Linked DNA regions of Callithrix jacchus. The protein of the gene in region 1 interacts with the protein of each later gene in a pairwise test. Links are inferred from orthologs where the notes say so. Each region holds a gene or a part of one and is shown on either strand. Other genes may lie near its edges.

Region 1 (3,510 bases):
AGGGGACTCACTGGCACCCCCTGAGGTGGACTTTGACAGGCTGCTGGCCAGCCTGAAGGATCTTAGTGAGCTGGTGGTAGAGGGTGACACCCAGGTGACACCAGTGCCTGGTGGGGCGCGGCTTCGTACCCTGGAGCCCATCCCGCTGAAGCTCTACCGGAATGGTATCATGATGTTCGACGGGCCCTTCCAGCCCTTCTGTGATCCCTCCACACAGGTAGGAGTGGTGTAGGGGGCAGTGTGCTAGTGCCCCTGTTCTCCACTGTTAGTTGGGGATGATGGAGCCAGCTCCCCCCAGGCCCAGCCTGCCCTCCACAGGGCACCCAGGCCAACGCACAACCTGCAGAGGTCCCTCCCCAAGCCCTGGGACTCAATGTTTCCAGAGGGTGTGACACTGGGTGACTCCGGATCCAGGGACTGGCATCCAGACCAGTGGCAGGGCAGGGTGGGTGCAAGCCCCAGGCTCCCCCTTCACTTTTCCTCTCCCCTTACAGCGCTGCCTCCGAGACATACTGGATGGCTTCTTTCCCTCAGAGCTCCAGCGACTGTACCCCAATGGGGTCCCCTTTAAGGTGAGCTGCCCCTCAAACTATACCTTTGGAGATTTGGATGGAGTGGGGATACACAGCCTCACGAAGCAACTCCCATTCTGAGGGGAAGCCACTGCGCCCCCTGGGGGACCCCAGTCTGATGCCTTCCAGGAGGATGAGCCTGAAGCCCAGCTGGGAAGGGAGTGGAGAGGCTGGGCAGCAAGCAGCGCCCTCTGCTGGCACTGTGGAGACAGCCTTGGCTGCGGGGCCACTGCCTCCTAGTCCTCCCCAGCATTCAGGACACCTTGACAAGCTGCAGTCCCTGCAGAAGTGGCCCGGCTTCCCTCAAGCCTCCTGAAGCTATCTGGGTAGGGTGGGAGGCAGGGCTGTGAGCCACAAATGCAAAGCAGAGGGGACAGATGTTGGGACTCAAGGACAAGGTAGAGCGGGCCTGTGGGTAGGTGCCACCACCAGAGCCCATGAGACTATGTGTTCCAGTGGGTGGTGGGTTAGTGCCGCAGTGAGGGCACGTCAGGGAGGGAGCATGTTGCCACCAGGGCTCAGGAAACAGCATGAGTCATGACTGGGGGCGTTGAAGGCATCTGTGCCACCATGGGGGCCTCGTAGCTATCCCTTGATGAGGCAAGTGAGGTGCCGTGTACGATGATGGGGTTTGTGCTGCAGACTGGACAAAAGCAGGGGCTTCGTCCTCTCCTGACCCCCTCACACTCTGTTTTCCTGGTAGGCTCCTGAGATGGGGGTCTCTGAGGAGGGTGTCAGTACTGCAGATTCAGCTAGTGTGGATGGGTGCTTGTAGGAGCAGCAGGGTCCAGGGAGGTGACATTAGAATGAACTATGGCTCTCCTGAGGCCTGGGTTTCCTCATCTTTAAAATGGGGGTTGCATTAGACCATACCCTGGCATGTGTTTGGGCAAATAGCAATGAAAGTGCGGCCAAGGGCTGAAGAGCTGAGCCCGCTGCTGTCTCCCTTCTTTCTTGCCAGGTGAGTGACTTGCGCAGTCAGGTCTACTTGGAGGATAGTCTGGATCCCTTCCCAGGCGAGGGCCATGTGGTGGACCGGCAGCGGATGCGCAAGGCCTTGGACAGGGTGGAGGAGCACCCAGGTGAGTTTGGCCTCCAGGCTGAGCCAGGGCCCGGGGAACCGAAGAACAAGCTCTAGGTGGGCTCCAGCACCACTCACAGTCCTTCCTGGGCCTTGGTTCCCAATGACCCCCCTGCAGGCTCCAGGATGACTGCTGAGAAATTTCTGAACAAGCTTCCCAAGTGTGTGATCTGGCAAGGCGAGGTGATTGACATCCGGGGCTCCATCAGGGATACCTTGCAGGTAAGGCCAACCCTGACTCGCCCAGCCCTCTTAAGGGAACTTTATCATCAGCCCTGGTCCAGCTGCCAGAGCAGTGTCCTATCTGGAGATTCAAGCTGGAGGCCGCTGATGAGTCCCTCAGAGCTGTTGCTCCACTGTCTCCTGGAAACTGTGAGGCTGGTGAGGGCAATGGCTGGGCCCCAGGAAGCAACTGGGTTTGTTGTAAGAGGGCTAAAGTCAGAGTCCAGGCCAGGGGCGAGCCCAGCACCCAGGCCACCCCATCAAGGTCTAAGCCAAAATATCCAACTCAGTACTGGGTACTCCCTTCGTGGTGGCCCTACAGGCCCCTCAGACTCTACCTGGCCCTCATCATTCTGTCTCCTCACTCCCTATCCTGCCTCTCCTTCTAGGTGTCCACCTGTGAAAGGCACCAAACCTGTTTCTCAGGCCTCCCTTACACATTGCTAAGTCCTGTCTGGTCTGTCCACCCCTAGAACTTCTCCCCATTAGCAGCACCCACCACCCTAGTCTAGGGTCTAGAGTGTCTCTCCCAGACAGCTGCCTCCGACCACCACTCCTGCCCCTGCTGACCATCCTCCAGGCTACCTTTCCTGTTGAAATCTTCCAGTGGTTCTTGGTATAAAGCCAGGTTCCTTGTGCTGGCACTCAAGGCCCATCCTACATTGCCAGGCCCCTCCTCATACCAGCTTTTTCCTTTCAGTCCAATTGATCCCCAGCTTCAGCCACACATACTGCTGGGAGTTGCCCAAATGCATCACCTCCTCTAGGAAGCTTCCCCTGACCCCAGGATCTTTGTTGATGCTGTCTGGAATATTCCTGCACCCATTCCACTTCTAAGAACTCGCACTCATCCTTCAGTCACAGCTCAGTTGTCATTTTCCAGGGAAAGCCTTCCCTGACCCCAGGCTGCCACAGGCTTCCAGCCTGGTCATCATCTGTCTCCATTAGACAGAGCATCCTTCCCCTTCCATTACCTCTCCTCTGGTCTTGGTTCATACAGAACACCCCCTCCCGCTTTGCTCACTGGTCTCATCTGTCCCTGGTCAAGGATGTGTCCCTCTAAGGATTGGGGGATGACTCAAATGGGGTCTAAGGCTCTGTTCCACCTCTGTTGATACCTTCTAGAACTGCTACCCATTGCCTGCCCGGATCCAGGAGATAGTGGTGGAGACGCCCACCTTGGCCGCTGAGCGAGAAAGGTGAGGGCAGGAAGGGGAGGTGAGGGCCTGGGGGTGTTGGGTCACTGGAAGCACTGATGGCCTCTGGGTTGTGCAGGAGCCAGGAGTCGCCCAACACGCCGGCACCCCCGCTCTCCATGCTGCGCATCAAATCTGAAAATGGGGAACAGGTCTTCCTACTGATGATGCAGCCTGACAACACCATCGGGGACGTGCGAGCCCTGCTATCGCAGGCCAGGTGGGGGCAGGGCAGGGCCGGGACCACAGAGGGGCTCTGGCCCCACGGCCCAGCCTGATCTGCTGTGCCTGGTCCCCAGGGCCATGGATGCCTCTGCCTTTGAGATCTTCAGCACATTCCCGCCCACCCTCTACCAGGACGATGCACTCACGCTGCAGGCTGCAGGCCTTGTGCCCAAAGCAGCACTGCTGCTGCGGTCACGCCAAGCCCCGAAGTCCA
Region 2 (4,083 bases), on another chromosome or scaffold:
ATGAGAAATATATTTTCTATTAGCCCAAGATAAAAGGTGATCCTGCATGCTGAAATTTTTAAGGATGGTTTAGGTTCTAGAGACTAAAAGAGAAATCATACAGAATGCAAAGGGAAATCAGATTTTTAAAAAATCAGTGACCACGTAAAGAATGTCTCATTATATTCTCTCTGAGCAAGAGAAACTATTAAACTGCTTTCAACTGAGCAAGTCAGCTGTTATCCTAGTCTTTTTTACTGCCTTACTCAATAACCCCCCTTTCATACCCTCAAAACAGCTCAGTTGAGAAAATAAAGTCCAATTTTACAGAAGGGGAAAATTAATAGAAAAAAGGATAAGCAACACTTTTCAACAGAGTAGGGTACTGGTAAGAATTTTAATACTGTATGGAGGAGTCTAACCCCAGAGTAATCAATCCCTGGCCCATTTCTGTGTTAGTAAGTGGATTCCAGTGTTCCTTTGTATTGAGGTAGTTTGAGGCACGTTGGGGATATTCATAACCTTTACTTCAGTGCATTATTATGAAACAGTCTAAAGTATCTTTGCATTCCCATGATCATTCTGTTTCAGTTGGTCTGCTAACTCACCAACACATTAAACCCCCATATGTAACTTCCTTTTAAAAAAATCACACTAAAAATCCCAGCCTTTAAAATCCTCAAGTTTTCAGTAGAATATGCTAAATATAGCTTGAAATAGTAAATAATCCCCCCAAGGCGACATTAGCAAATTAATTGGTGTGTGAACAAAGAACCCTTTCTGTGGCAGCATGAATGTTGCCTTTATTTTTTCTCCTGAGTGTGATTTTAGAAAACAGCTGTAGCGCATGTTGACGAATGACAAAGCGGCAGACGCGGTAAAGCACTTTTGGTCAAGGCCAAGAGCGTGGGGACTCGGGTGGCTGGAGCGGCGCTCCGGCTGGAATCCCTCGCTTTCCTAACCTTCTTTTTCCAGTCCGGAGTGAGCGGGGGCCCCATCGCCCCACCCCTCTTTCCTGGCTCTGGTTACGGCCTTGCAAGTTGAACAAACTTGCTGCAGGCGGATTGGCGGCCCGGAGCTCTCGAGCTGGGACCTTGTATTTATTAATTTATATTCCGCGACGCCCCGCGCGGGCCGCTCCTTTGTGTCCGGCCGCCGACGCCGGAGCTCGGGAGCCTCGGCCGGGAACGCGTCCCCCAGCGTCCGCCCGACCCCCAAGGCCGGCACGTGCTGCGCCCGGTCCGCCGAGGGGGCGGAGGCCCCGACCGATCTCCCCGACTGCCCCCGCCCCCCCGCTCTCTGCCTGGAGGAGGAGGAGCAGCGGCAGCAGCAGCGGGAGGCGACAGCTGCCGGCTGAGGAGGAGCGGCGGAGAGGGGACTGCGGTCAGCGGCGTCCACTCGGGGCTGCGCGGCGGCCTCACGCCCGGCGATGTTCCGGGGCGCTCCCTGAGTGGCGGCAGCGCGCCCCCCGCCCGCTTGCCCCGGCCCCCACGCCCCGGTTTCCTAGCCGGCAGGCGCGGCCCCGGCCCCGCTCTGCGTCGGCCCCGCCGCTGTGGAGGTGCGTGAGGGGGACGCGGCCGGGGATGAACGGATTGCGGGTGAACTCGCCGCCTGGGGGCCACGCGAGGCCGTGAGCCGCTGCTTTTCTCCGGGTCGCCGCCCTGCCCTTGGATTTGAAATCATGTACGTACGCGCCGCCGTCCGGCCATTGTCTGTCTCCAGCGCGTGCCGTGCGCCCCAGGGACAGGGGCTGCTGCCCATCCTGGCCGCGCGCGGCCCCCCGCACTTCCTGTTCCGAGGACGGATCCGCACGCTGACCGCGCTTCCCTTCTCCCCTCGCCCCCTCTCTGTCCTTGCAGGTCCATCCACATCGTGGCGCTGGGGAACGAGGGGGACACGTTCCACCAGGACAGCCGGCCGTCGGGGCTCATCCGCACTTACCTGGGGAGGAGCCCTCTGGTCTCGGGGGACGAGAGCAGCTTGCTGCTGAACGCGGCCAGCACGGTCGCGCGTCCCGTGTTCACCGAGTATCAGGCCAGTGCGTTTGGGAATGTCAAGCTGGTGGTCCACGACTGTCCCGTCTGGGTAAGGAACAGCAGCTGCTCCACGCCGGGGCTGAAGGAGCTTTTTTCCCTCCTCCTGCTTCTGCTCACTTCCGTGAGTGTGGAGTGTCAGCGTTACATGGGTCGAATTTTTAAACATTTTTGAGAAAATCTTTGGTCTTTTGTTTCACTGGGCAGGGGATAGCCCCGTCAGCGCACACTCTTGGGAAGATAAAAGGCCCCAGTGGGAGTGTGGAGCACTTACTGGTACACTTCAGGACTGTGGGTTGTCCCTTGGTAGGCAGCTGACAGTTGAATGTGCCAATTCCAAGGGATGGGGTCACTAAGTTTCACTAGCAAAAAGCAGTGCTTTTTTTTTTTTTAATGCCTACCCTGTGGGTGATAGTGTAATATTGGTATTCTAAAAATACACCCTCAAAGCTCAACACAGGCAAAAATACTTTTCACTGGGACAGTTCAGAAATAGTTCCTCTGGAAAGTGGAGGAAAAGGCAGGGACTGGGAATTAATTTTAAATGACTCATTTATAGCACTATTATTTGAGCTCTGAAAATTTTAATTTTAATGCAAATACTCTTTAAGTATTAGCCATTTGTTTTAGTAATTCATAAATCAGAACATTACTAATATTGCGTGGAAAACTTTTTAAAAAATTTTTGCAATAGTTAAACAAAATTGTAGTGAAGTGGATAAATGGTAGTCTGATTCTTGAGTGTTTGATGAAAGGAAAAGGGAATTTGCTTCCTGACACATGTAAGTATTTTCAGTATACAATAACATGTTTTGAATGTTTTCTTTTAATCTTATTTGAAAATCTCTGATTCTTTAGTGGTATTGGAGTTACCTACGTTTCAGCTAAATGTTATATTTAGTAACAGAAGAAAGTGTAGTGCCTGAAAAAATACAAATTATCATTGTGTGAGATTTCTTATTTAAACAGCAATATTAAAAAACTGAATCAGGGCTATAGGAAACTATCACATCATTCTAAAAAATGTGTAAAATGTACTTAGAAAAATTTCTTATGCAAATTTTCATATAACAGAAAGAAAAGATCATTTGCTCGTATAAGTTTTCAGTTAAAGAAGAAAGTTATGTTAATTTGGTAAAATTTAAAATAGGCCTTTTCAATTAAGAGATACCATTAAACCCCTAGTTATAATAGTGATGACGTTGTTCATAAGAAGTATTGACGGAGAACTTACCGGCCAGAGTCTATGCAGGCAAATGAAACACTTCTTTTGCTTTTGGTCTTTCATCGTGAAAGATCTTACAGTCTAAAATCATAATGGTACAACATGCAGTTGAACAAATGTTTAGTGAATAGAGTAAATAAATGGAGGGAAAATAAAATTAGCTACGTTAGAATGTTAGAATTGCTTTCCCTGTGTTTAATTTGAGCTGTTAACATTTTCCTGTTTATATTGTTAATTTCACGAACAGCAATGCTTGTGATCCCATATACTTTGTCTAGTCAAATGAAATCTTCCAAATGGATAAAATAAGCCTCTGTAGTCGGGATTTTTGCTATAACCTGGTTGTTATGGTTTATTATGCAAATCACTTTTTGTTTGGTTAGACTCTGGCCCTATTTAAGGCACCAAGTTTGTAACCCAGTACAATTTTCTAGGTTATAAAGGTCTTCGGACATGAGATTCCATTTCTAGGGTTGCTCTTTATAAGGTGCTTTTCTTCACTTGGTGGTAAGTAAAGCCCATCAGAGATATTACAACTGATTGCATTAATCAGCTGTTATTTGAGTATGTATAGAATCAGAATATTAAATATAGCAGAGCAGATAGAGTACAGCCTTTGATATCAAAGGATCTGATTTCGGATTCTAACATTGCCATTTCATGCCTGTGTGTCCTTGTTAAATCATTTACCTTCTCTCAGCCGTATTTTCCCTATCTACATCATAATCTGTCTCCTAGACCTGTGCTGAGAAGTGAATGAGAAACTAGCACATGTCAAGTTTAAGTATAGAGGCTGGCTTTTAGTAAGTGCCTGTAAGTGGTAGCTAATATAAAAATTAAGTGTTT
Region 3 (3,957 bases), on another chromosome or scaffold:
GTCCAGATTGAGAGGCACTTAAGTCAGCTTGCTAAGCTTCTGCCCAGGTATCTCCTCACCCTCTGAACTAGACCAATTCCTTGTGGGTAGGACCTTAGTTCAATTCATCTTTATACCACCACCATCAGACAGTGGCATAAAACAAATCCCTATTTAATGAATGGTCTCTAGAATCAAAGCAATGAGTGCCAAATAAGTGGTTTAGACAATAGTTAGGAAGGGGCCCAAAGTTAACGATACAGAGTAAAAAGCAAATGACATAGAATAGGGACAAAATCAGTATAGTTGTCTAGATCTGAAAACCATGTTTAACAAAGTCAGGACTGCAGTTTTTGTGATAGCATCTTAGGGTTTTACATATCAATAGGATCAATGGCAATGTGATCTAAGGACTTGGCAAGTCTACCCCTTCTCCACGAAAGCAATTACAATAAAAGGTTTCATTCAGAGAAGTTGAGTCTATACAGTAATGGAGAGTAGAGCTACTCTTTAATCTGAGCCCACTAGATTATGTACTAAGCTCCAGCCACTGGACTTCTAGGCTTCTGACAAACTGAAACATGTCCTCAGGAGCAATGTGGTAAAGAGTGAAGATTAGTAAGGAGAGTAACGTGGTAAAGACTCCAAATATACAGCAATGGCCTAAACACCACAGAATTTCTGAATGAAAAACAACATAAAAAAATAAAACTAGGGCCAGGAGCGCTGTTTTCAATTGCTAATTTCAAATGAAAGAAAGCTTGTTTTTCATTTTCTTTCCTGCAATGCTAGAGGGCAGATGTTAAAAGATTCTGGCTCAATGTAATAGTTAATAATTCAAAGTAATTAAGATGACCCAGGTTTTTCATTAAAGACATAAGGAAAAAAAAAGGCCAAATATAATTTTTGTCTCAAGGTGCTTGAACCAAGGTTACACCACAAACCTGGGAGAGCGCTTCCTGTTACTTAACCTCAGTCTCATTTTCCTTATCCATAAAGGAGATAACAAGATCCCCTTCAGAATTGTTAGAGTAGAAATAACATGAGACTGGGGGCGGTGGCTCACCCCTGTAATCCTAGCACTTTGGGAGGCCAAGGTGGGTAGACCTCTTGAGCCCAGGAGTTTGAGATCCTGGGCAACAAGGTGCAACTGTCTCTACAAAAAATACAAAAAAATTTAGCCAGGCAGGGTAGCACATGCTTGTGGTCCTGGCTACTCTGGAGGCTGAGATGGGAGGATTGCTGGTGCCCGAGAGGTCAAGTGGGCAGTGAGCTGTGATCACACCATTGCACTCCAGCCAGGGGTGACGGAGTGAGACTCTGTCTGTAAAAATATATTTATATGAAAAGTACCTAGCAAGATCCCTGTGGAAGTCCATTATTACCATTCTTACTGCAGACCCCCACATGATTTGGGTAGGCTTAAGCTAGATGACCCATAAAACGTCTTCTTAGGATGAAATTTGATTTGTTCAAATCAGTGGAGGAAGGGGAATAAGGGTCCCAGAAAGCTCCACTTAGGCAGGATTTGGATCTGAAGCTGGGTGTTGCACGGTTTACAAGAGAGATGAAATGGGGTGGGAGTGAGGGGAGAGGTTCGTATAGGATGGGCTCAGTTAAACAGCAGGATAGAGAAAAGACTTTCTCAAATAGCAGAGACATCTCGGCAGCCAGGAAACATTGCTGAGGAGCCATCTGCCTGGAGTGTTGGAAATCCAGTACTCCCTGAATTTGCACAGTACTCGCTGTATTGGAAAAAAACCCAATTTCCCGTCAATAGCACCAGGTCACAACCTAAACTAATAGTAATTCCACTTTACGGTTATATCGCAATAGTTAGCAATGTTCACAAGTATCTTTAAGCACTGCTGAGTGTGAGCTGACCCTTCTCACACCCCGGTGTGGCAGCAGGATACTATCCACTAATGTGGTTTAAGCAACAACGACTCAGAGACTGGGTAACTTTTCTGCAAACAGCTGGAAAGCGGTAAGTCTGAGACTAGAAATCCAGGTCTTCGGATGAAGAGACAGATTTACTAGAAGAGAGTAGGAGCATATTCTACCTCAAGATACAATCCTTGGAGGGGGATAAGTAAAAATACTTTTGCATTTTCTCTCTGTACCTCCAAACCGTTTGATGCTGAAACTAGGAACCGGAGAGGGCAACAAGTATACCTAGCTCTGGGCGAATGTGTAGGAAGATGGGAACCGGAGGGGGAGGAGAAAGAAAGTAGAGTCTCAGGAATATCATTCCTAAGCGAGCCTTCCACTGCGCCGAGCGCAGCAGCCACGTTACCTCCCTGCATCCGCTAAACTCTAAGACACAGGCTGTTACCGTCCCCACTCTGCAGATGAGAAAACTGAGGCTCAGAAGGGAGAGGGAGTGTGTGAGGAAAGCTAGATTCAAAGGCAGTGCGGCCAGACTGCGGAAACACCCAAACCGCCGAGGTCCCCACCCCTCCACGTCGCCGGCAACCCGCATCTTCGGGGCGGGGCGTCCGAAAATCTCCCCCTACAGGGCGGCACAGCCACCCCTTCCCCACGCCCAGCTCTTCGCCCTCGGTCCGGACGGCCCTGGGGTCCCAGGAACCCCTGTAGCCATCGCTCCCCAGCCCCCTCCTCCCCTCCAGCCCAGGCCAGGTCCGGCCGCTGCCGGATCCCGGGAGGGAAGCCGGTGCCGCAGGCTTTGCACCTCCTCAGCCCCAGTGGGGGCGGGAGCGGGGAACGGTTGGAGGAAGGGGCCCCAGGGGCGGCCAGGAGCCACTCACGCGTCGAACTTGTTGTTCATCCTCTCGCCGCCGCTGTCGCCACTGCCTCAAGGAGTGACTTCCGCTCCACCGGGTCCCTCAGCCTTAGGCCCGGCTACTTCCGGTTTTGCGCGAGGCGCACCGGAACGTCGGCGCGCAGGCCCGGCTGGGGGCTGCTATCCCGGGACGCCAGCCCGGGGCGGCTGCGCAGAGGGCTGGCCTAGGCAGCGGAGCTGACTGCTGGCTTCAGGTTTTTCCCAGTCCCGGTGTTTGTGAGCCGCCAGTTCTCCTAAGGGAGCATGTCCTGGCACCCTCCCGCAGCGGCTCGGAAAAAAGACAGCACCGCGGTCGTTGACGGCGCGGACTCTGGACTCGCTGCTTTGGTAAAAACCCTCCTCCTCCTCCTCCAGTGCGGGACGCACCCTCCGGCATCTCTCTTAACCTCCCCAAGGCTTTCCTTTGGCGGCGGCGCCACTCTATTATGGTATTCCTCGTTTTATTGCGCTTTGCAGATAGGGCTTTCTAAAAACAAATTGAGGGTTTGTGGCAGCCCTGAGCCCAGCAATTGTATCAGCGCCATTTTTCCAACTGCGTGTGCTCACTTTGTGTCTCTGTGTTACATTTTGGTAATTTTCAAAATATTTCAGACTTTTTCATGATTTCTGTGTCTGTTATGGTGATCTGTGATCAGTGATCTTTGATGTTGCTATTGTCATTGTTTTGGAGTGCCACATACTGCATCTTTTATATTTTATAAGACAGCGAACTTAATGTTGTGTGTGTTCTGACTGCTTCACCCACAGACTGTTCCCCATCTCCCTCTTCTTGGGCCTCCCTATTCCCTGAGACACAACAATATTGAGATGAGGCAAATTAATAACTCAGCAATGGCCTCTAAGTGCTCAAGTGAAAGGAAGAGTCGTACGTCTCTCACTTTAAATCAGAAACTAGAAATGATTAAACTCAGTGAGGAGGGTATGTCAAAAGCTGAGATAGGCCGAAGGCTAGGCCTTCTGCGGCAAACAGTTAGCCAAGTTGTAAATGCAAAGGAAAAGTTCTTGAAGGAAATTGAAAGTGCTACTCCAATGAACACACGAATGATAAGAAAGCGAAACAGCCTTATCGCTGATATGGAGAAAGTTTTAGTGGCCTGGTTAGAAGATCATACCAGCCGCGACGTTCCTTTAAGCCAAGGCCTAACCCAGAGCAAGGCCCTAACTCTGTTCAACTC
Region 4 (4,112 bases), on another chromosome or scaffold:
AAGGATGCAGACGCCGTGCTGGCCACAGAGTGGAGCACAGGAGCCCCCAGGCTCTTGCGCTTCTTGGCTTTTTTGTGCTGTTTGGCAGATGATGAGACCTCACTCTGGCTACCCTCTCGCTCCTCCTCCTGCAGCAGCAGCCTGGGTGGCAGCTCAGCTTCAGCCCTCAGATGGGCATGGTGGCCTGGGAGGCTGAGGGACCTGAGCCAGGGACAAGAAACTTGAGGAGCCAGGCTCCAGCCCTGGCCCAGGGAATAGCCCAGCCTGCCCACCACCCCAGGGCTCAATGCCTGCCTGGTTCATGGTCAGTGAGGCCCCAGGCCCAAGAGAGGCTTAGAGCCAGGTGAGCCCAGTCCCCTACAAACCCTGAAGCCCCCTCTCTCCTGCCGCTCCCTACACAGGGGTAGTAGGGGGAAGGTCTTCAGGAACAGAAAGAGAGGGGAGTGAGGGTAGTACTGGTGGACACAAGAATCACACTTGCAGGAGTGCAGGATTTAGGAATCCTACTGGAGTGTGAGCCCCATCCCTGGGCCTGCAGCTCCTTCCCTCCGAGAGCCCCCTCACTTGACAGGCTTCCTCTTTGGACCATGATGGGGCCTTACAGAGACCACGGGCCTGGGGCCTCTCTCCTCTAGTGCCCCAGCCTCCGGCTTGGGCCTCTCTTCCCCCAGTTTGGGTCCTTCCTCCTGGAGCTCCGGCTCTGAGGAGGCTCCTGCTGGGGGCTGGTCTTCACCATGGGTCCCACCGGCCTCATGGGCTGGCACCAGGAACTGGTCTCCCGTCACTGGACACTAGAGGTGACACACAGACCATCTGTCACCATGGCCGGGCAAAAGATATAGGGATCAGTCACTGAACACCTAACATTAGACACCGAAACAGCCTGTGTGCCTCTCCCCTCCTGGAGAGCCCAGCCAGCCAGTTAGGGAGTCGGGGCGCTCAGAGTTCCACCTCTCAGAGCTCTACGGCTCCGTGTTTGAATGCTAAACAGCCTGATGGTCACCTCAGAGGTCTGAGCGCGGCCAGGGTCCTCCGCGAGCAGTGCCTGCCCCACGACCGTCGCCTCCTGGAACCCCGGCCGCCTCTCCGCCCCTGCCGAGGCCATGGCTCCGCAGGCTCAGTGCATCCTCGTCCTGGGGCGGACCCGAGGGGTTGGATGGTGGCCCTGCGCGGACCCCGGAGACCGGCCAGCAAGCGAGCACAAAACTGGGAAGCGAGACCGGCGGCCACCCTCGGCCGAAACTACAAGCCCCAGGAGGCTTTGCGCCAGGGTCAGTGAGCCCTGACCCCGGGGACGGAAGCCACGGTTGCCCGGCAACAACAACTCCCGTCGAGTGGCTACAGCTGGCTGCAAAACCGCTCGAGTGATCCCCTGCCCGAGTGCCGCGGGGGGTGGGGCGCGAGCGGGACCGGGAAGTGGGCTGGGAGCAGAGGTCGTGGAGGCGACAAACGAGGCCGAGGTCGGGGCGGGGACTGGGAGGGTCCTGGGACGGGCGGCCCTCCTTGGTCCAGGTTAGGGTCAGGGTCCCGGACTAGGGAGGAGGCCTGGAGCTGGGAAGGGGGCCCAGGGAGGGAGGTATAGAGCTCGACAGGACTCGGAGCCCCTTTGAAGGGCGGCGCCGGCGGCATGTGCGAGGGCCCGTCCCGTATCTCCGGGCCCATCCCCCCAGACCCGACGCTTTGCCCTGACTACTACCGGCGGCCGGCCTCTGGTGAGTACGGGGGCGCGGCGGTGGCGAGAGGCTCGGGGGTCGGCCTCGGCTCCACCTCTGAGCCCCGCATTCCACCCGGCTCCACCCCACACGCAGCTCAAGGACGACTAGAGGGGAACGCGCTGAAGCTGGACTTGCTGACCTCGGACCGAGCCCTGGACGCCACCGCTCCCCGTGGGCCCTGCATCGGTCCCGGCGCCCGAGAGATCATGGAGCGCCGCCGGCGTGGCGTCGGCGACGTGCTGTTGCAACTTGAGGGCATCTCCCTAGGTCCTGGGGCCTCTCTCAAGAGTAAGTCCCAGGAAGAGAAGAAGGGGCAGAGAGACAGTTTGGGGTGGAAAGACATCAAAGCAGCTGCCCTTTCCCCCCTGACCTCGGCCCAGGCTTTGCTCTCTTGAGTCTCAGTTTCCCCAACCATAAAAAGGGGGAGAAATGTGCTACCTTCTCGGAGGGGAACTGAGTGAGGTAGTTCCCACAAAGTCCTAGCTCTGCTTCATGCATTTATTACCCGTCAAACTTGTGTGCCAGGCCATATAGGTGCTAGAACACAGGGTTGAAGACAAGCATGATCCATCGAATCAAGGTGGGAGACAAAGAACAGGAGATGAATGTCATGTATGAGATAATTAATAGTATACTTCACTGTAATAATGGAGAAAAACAGCTGGGAGCAGTGGCTCATGCCTGTAATCCCAGCACTTTGGGAGGCCGAGGCGGGCGGATCACTTGAGCCCAGGAGTTGGAGACCAGCCTGGCCAACATGGTGAAACCCCATCTCTGCAAAAAATACAAAAATTAGCCCGGTATGGTGGAGTATGTCTCTAATCCCAGCTATTCAGCAGGCTGAAGTGGGAGGATCACTTGAGCCAAGGAGGTTGAGACTGCAGTGAGCTGTGATCATGCCACTGTACTCCAGCCTGGGTGACAGAGTGAGACCCTGTCTCAATTAATGAGAAAAATCATCACGAGATACTAAATACGTGAGGAAGGGAACACGATGATGAGGCAGACGAGAGGTCGGGGGCTCTTTCTGTAAGGGGCGGAGGACAGGCCTGTGTGTGAACTGGTGGAAATTGGATTGTGTGGGCCATATGTAGGGCAGAGCCTTGCAGCATCTGTTCTCTAGGGAAGGACCCTAAAGACCATGAGAAGGAGAACCTGAGGCGGATCAGGGAGATTCAGAAGCGCTTCAGAGAACGGGAGCGCAGCCGGGAGCAGGGCCAGCCTAGGCCCCTGAAAGCTCTGTGGCGTTCGCCCAAGTACAACAAGGTGGAGTCCCGCGTCAAGGCCCAGCTGCAGGTACCTGCCTCAGGGCACCGGATGTATTAGTCATTTTGTTGGCCAACAGGCAACTAACTATATTCTGATCTGGGGAGGGAGGAAAGTCACAGAGGTAACAGAGGACTAAGAGACCCTGACTCTGCTGCAGGGCAGGACTGAGGGGGGCCTTCTCAAAGTCATGATGGGGGGAGCTGATCCTAAGGGGCAAGCAGCAGTTATGCAAGGGGACAGCAGTAGAGAACATTCCCAAAAGATGGAACCTCCCCAACCACAGGACACATAGCAGTGGAGATGCTAGGTACAGGACACATAGCAGTGGAGATGCTAGGTACAGTTCAAAGGCGTGAGGTTAGACCAAGAAGTCAGCCGGACCCACATCATCAAGGGCCACATTAACCACTTTCAGCCTTTATTTCTGAGGACAGTGGGAAGGGCAGAAGTATGGTGGGGGGTGCTCTGTCTTGGGTAGAGAGCAGCACCATCCCTCCATCCAAGGACTCAGCAGGAGGAGTAAGAGTGAGAGGAAAGGCAAGGTCACACGAATGTGTCAGGGCTGAAGCATCTGTGGCGCTCCCAGGGGGTGGGAGTGTATCCAGGAAGCAGATGGAAATTCAGGACTGGATCTGAGGAGTAAGACCTAGGAGTTACTGTCAGGTTGAGGACAACGAGACCAAGGAAGTGACCGCCTGGATTTGAGGACTTGGAGGCCAGCCATCAGGAACTTTGGGGGACTAGAGCCGGAAGCTTGGCTAGGAAGGAGGGGAGAGAGTGGTGGCTGGCCCAGTACTGAGGTAGAAGGAGAGGTGGTTACTGTTTTCTTAAAAATCTGATATCCACACGTTTATGTGCTGATGAGGACAAGTGTCCCTTGAGGAGGGAAGATGCCCCGAGGGACATGGATGCAGAGGTCAGAAGGGCCAAAAGAGCCAGAGTCCTGAGGTTTCAGCCCCAGACCTCAGCCTGCTTGCTCTCTCTGCTGTGCCCTGCCCTCCAGGAGCCTGGCCCTGCCTTTGGGACAGAGTCTGCCCACTTCCTGCGGGCACACTCCCGCTGTGGCCCTGGCCTCCCACCACCCCGTGTTTCCAGTCCCCAGCCAACCCCACCAGGTTCTGAAGCTAA

Evidence for each region.
Region 2: the proteins of UBXN11 (region 1) and RHOBTB3 interact in binary tests that used the Homo sapiens proteins (3 or more experiments, as listed by UniProt). The two-hybrid records come from large-scale screens. The link is inferred for Callithrix jacchus from reciprocal best matches to the Homo sapiens genes UBXN11 and RHOBTB3.
Region 3: the proteins of UBXN11 (region 1) and EIF4E2 interact in binary tests that used the Homo sapiens proteins (3 or more experiments, as listed by UniProt). The two-hybrid records come from large-scale screens. The link is inferred for Callithrix jacchus from reciprocal best matches to the Homo sapiens genes UBXN11 and EIF4E2.
Region 4: the proteins of UBXN11 (region 1) and ENKD1 interact in binary tests that used the Homo sapiens proteins (3 or more experiments, as listed by UniProt). The two-hybrid records come from large-scale screens. The link is inferred for Callithrix jacchus from reciprocal best matches to the Homo sapiens genes UBXN11 and ENKD1.

The regions. Positions count from the first base shown.
Region 1 is NC_133508.1:62,927,463-62,930,972, reverse strand, and holds part of UBXN11 (UBX domain-containing protein 11), read left to right. Parts: intron 1-2; coding exon 3-217; intron 218-494; coding exon 495-572; intron 573-1,533; coding exon 1,534-1,654; intron 1,655-1,771; coding exon 1,772-1,875; intron 1,876-3,000; coding exon 3,001-3,074; intron 3,075-3,150; coding exon 3,151-3,291; intron 3,292-3,370; coding exon 3,371-3,510. UniProt on the Homo sapiens protein: May be involved in the reorganization of actin cytoskeleton mediated by RND1, RND2 and RND3. Promotes RHOA activation mediated by GNA12 and GNA13.
Region 2 is NC_133503.1:114,855,677-114,859,759, reverse strand, and holds the start of RHOBTB3 (rho-related BTB domain-containing protein 3), read left to right. Parts: upstream 1-1,280; 5' UTR 1,281-1,660; coding exon 1,661-1,662; intron 1,663-1,838; coding exon 1,839-2,064; intron 2,065-4,083. UniProt on the Homo sapiens protein: Rab9-regulated ATPase required for endosome to Golgi transport. Involved in transport vesicle docking at the Golgi complex, possibly by participating in release M6PRBP1/TIP47 from vesicles to permit their efficient docking and fusion at the Golgi.
Region 3 is NC_133507.1:153,927,372-153,931,328, reverse strand, and holds the start of EIF4E2 (eukaryotic translation initiation factor 4E type 2), read right to left. Parts: upstream 2,804-3,957; 5' UTR 2,768-2,803; coding exon 2,748-2,767; intron 1-2,747. UniProt on the Homo sapiens protein: Recognizes and binds the 7-methylguanosine-containing mRNA cap during an early step in the initiation. Acts as a repressor of translation initiation.
Region 4 is NC_133521.1:25,174,544-25,178,655, reverse strand, and holds the start of ENKD1 (enkurin domain-containing protein 1), read left to right. Parts: upstream 1-1,309; 5' UTR 1,310-1,627; coding exon 1,628-1,712; intron 1,713-1,808; coding exon 1,809-2,003; intron 2,004-2,838; coding exon 2,839-3,011; intron 3,012-3,373; exon of another isoform or gene 3,374-3,604; coding exon of another isoform or gene 3,605-3,616; exon of another isoform or gene 3,617-3,987; coding exon 3,988-4,112. Other genes in the region: C20H16orf86 (uncharacterized protein C16orf86 homolog), read right to left, coding at 1-201, 565-791, 1,004-1,105. UniProt on the Homo sapiens protein: Microtubule-binding protein which regulates microtubule organization and stability. Promotes the stability of astral microtubules and facilitates the proper orientation of the mitotic spindle.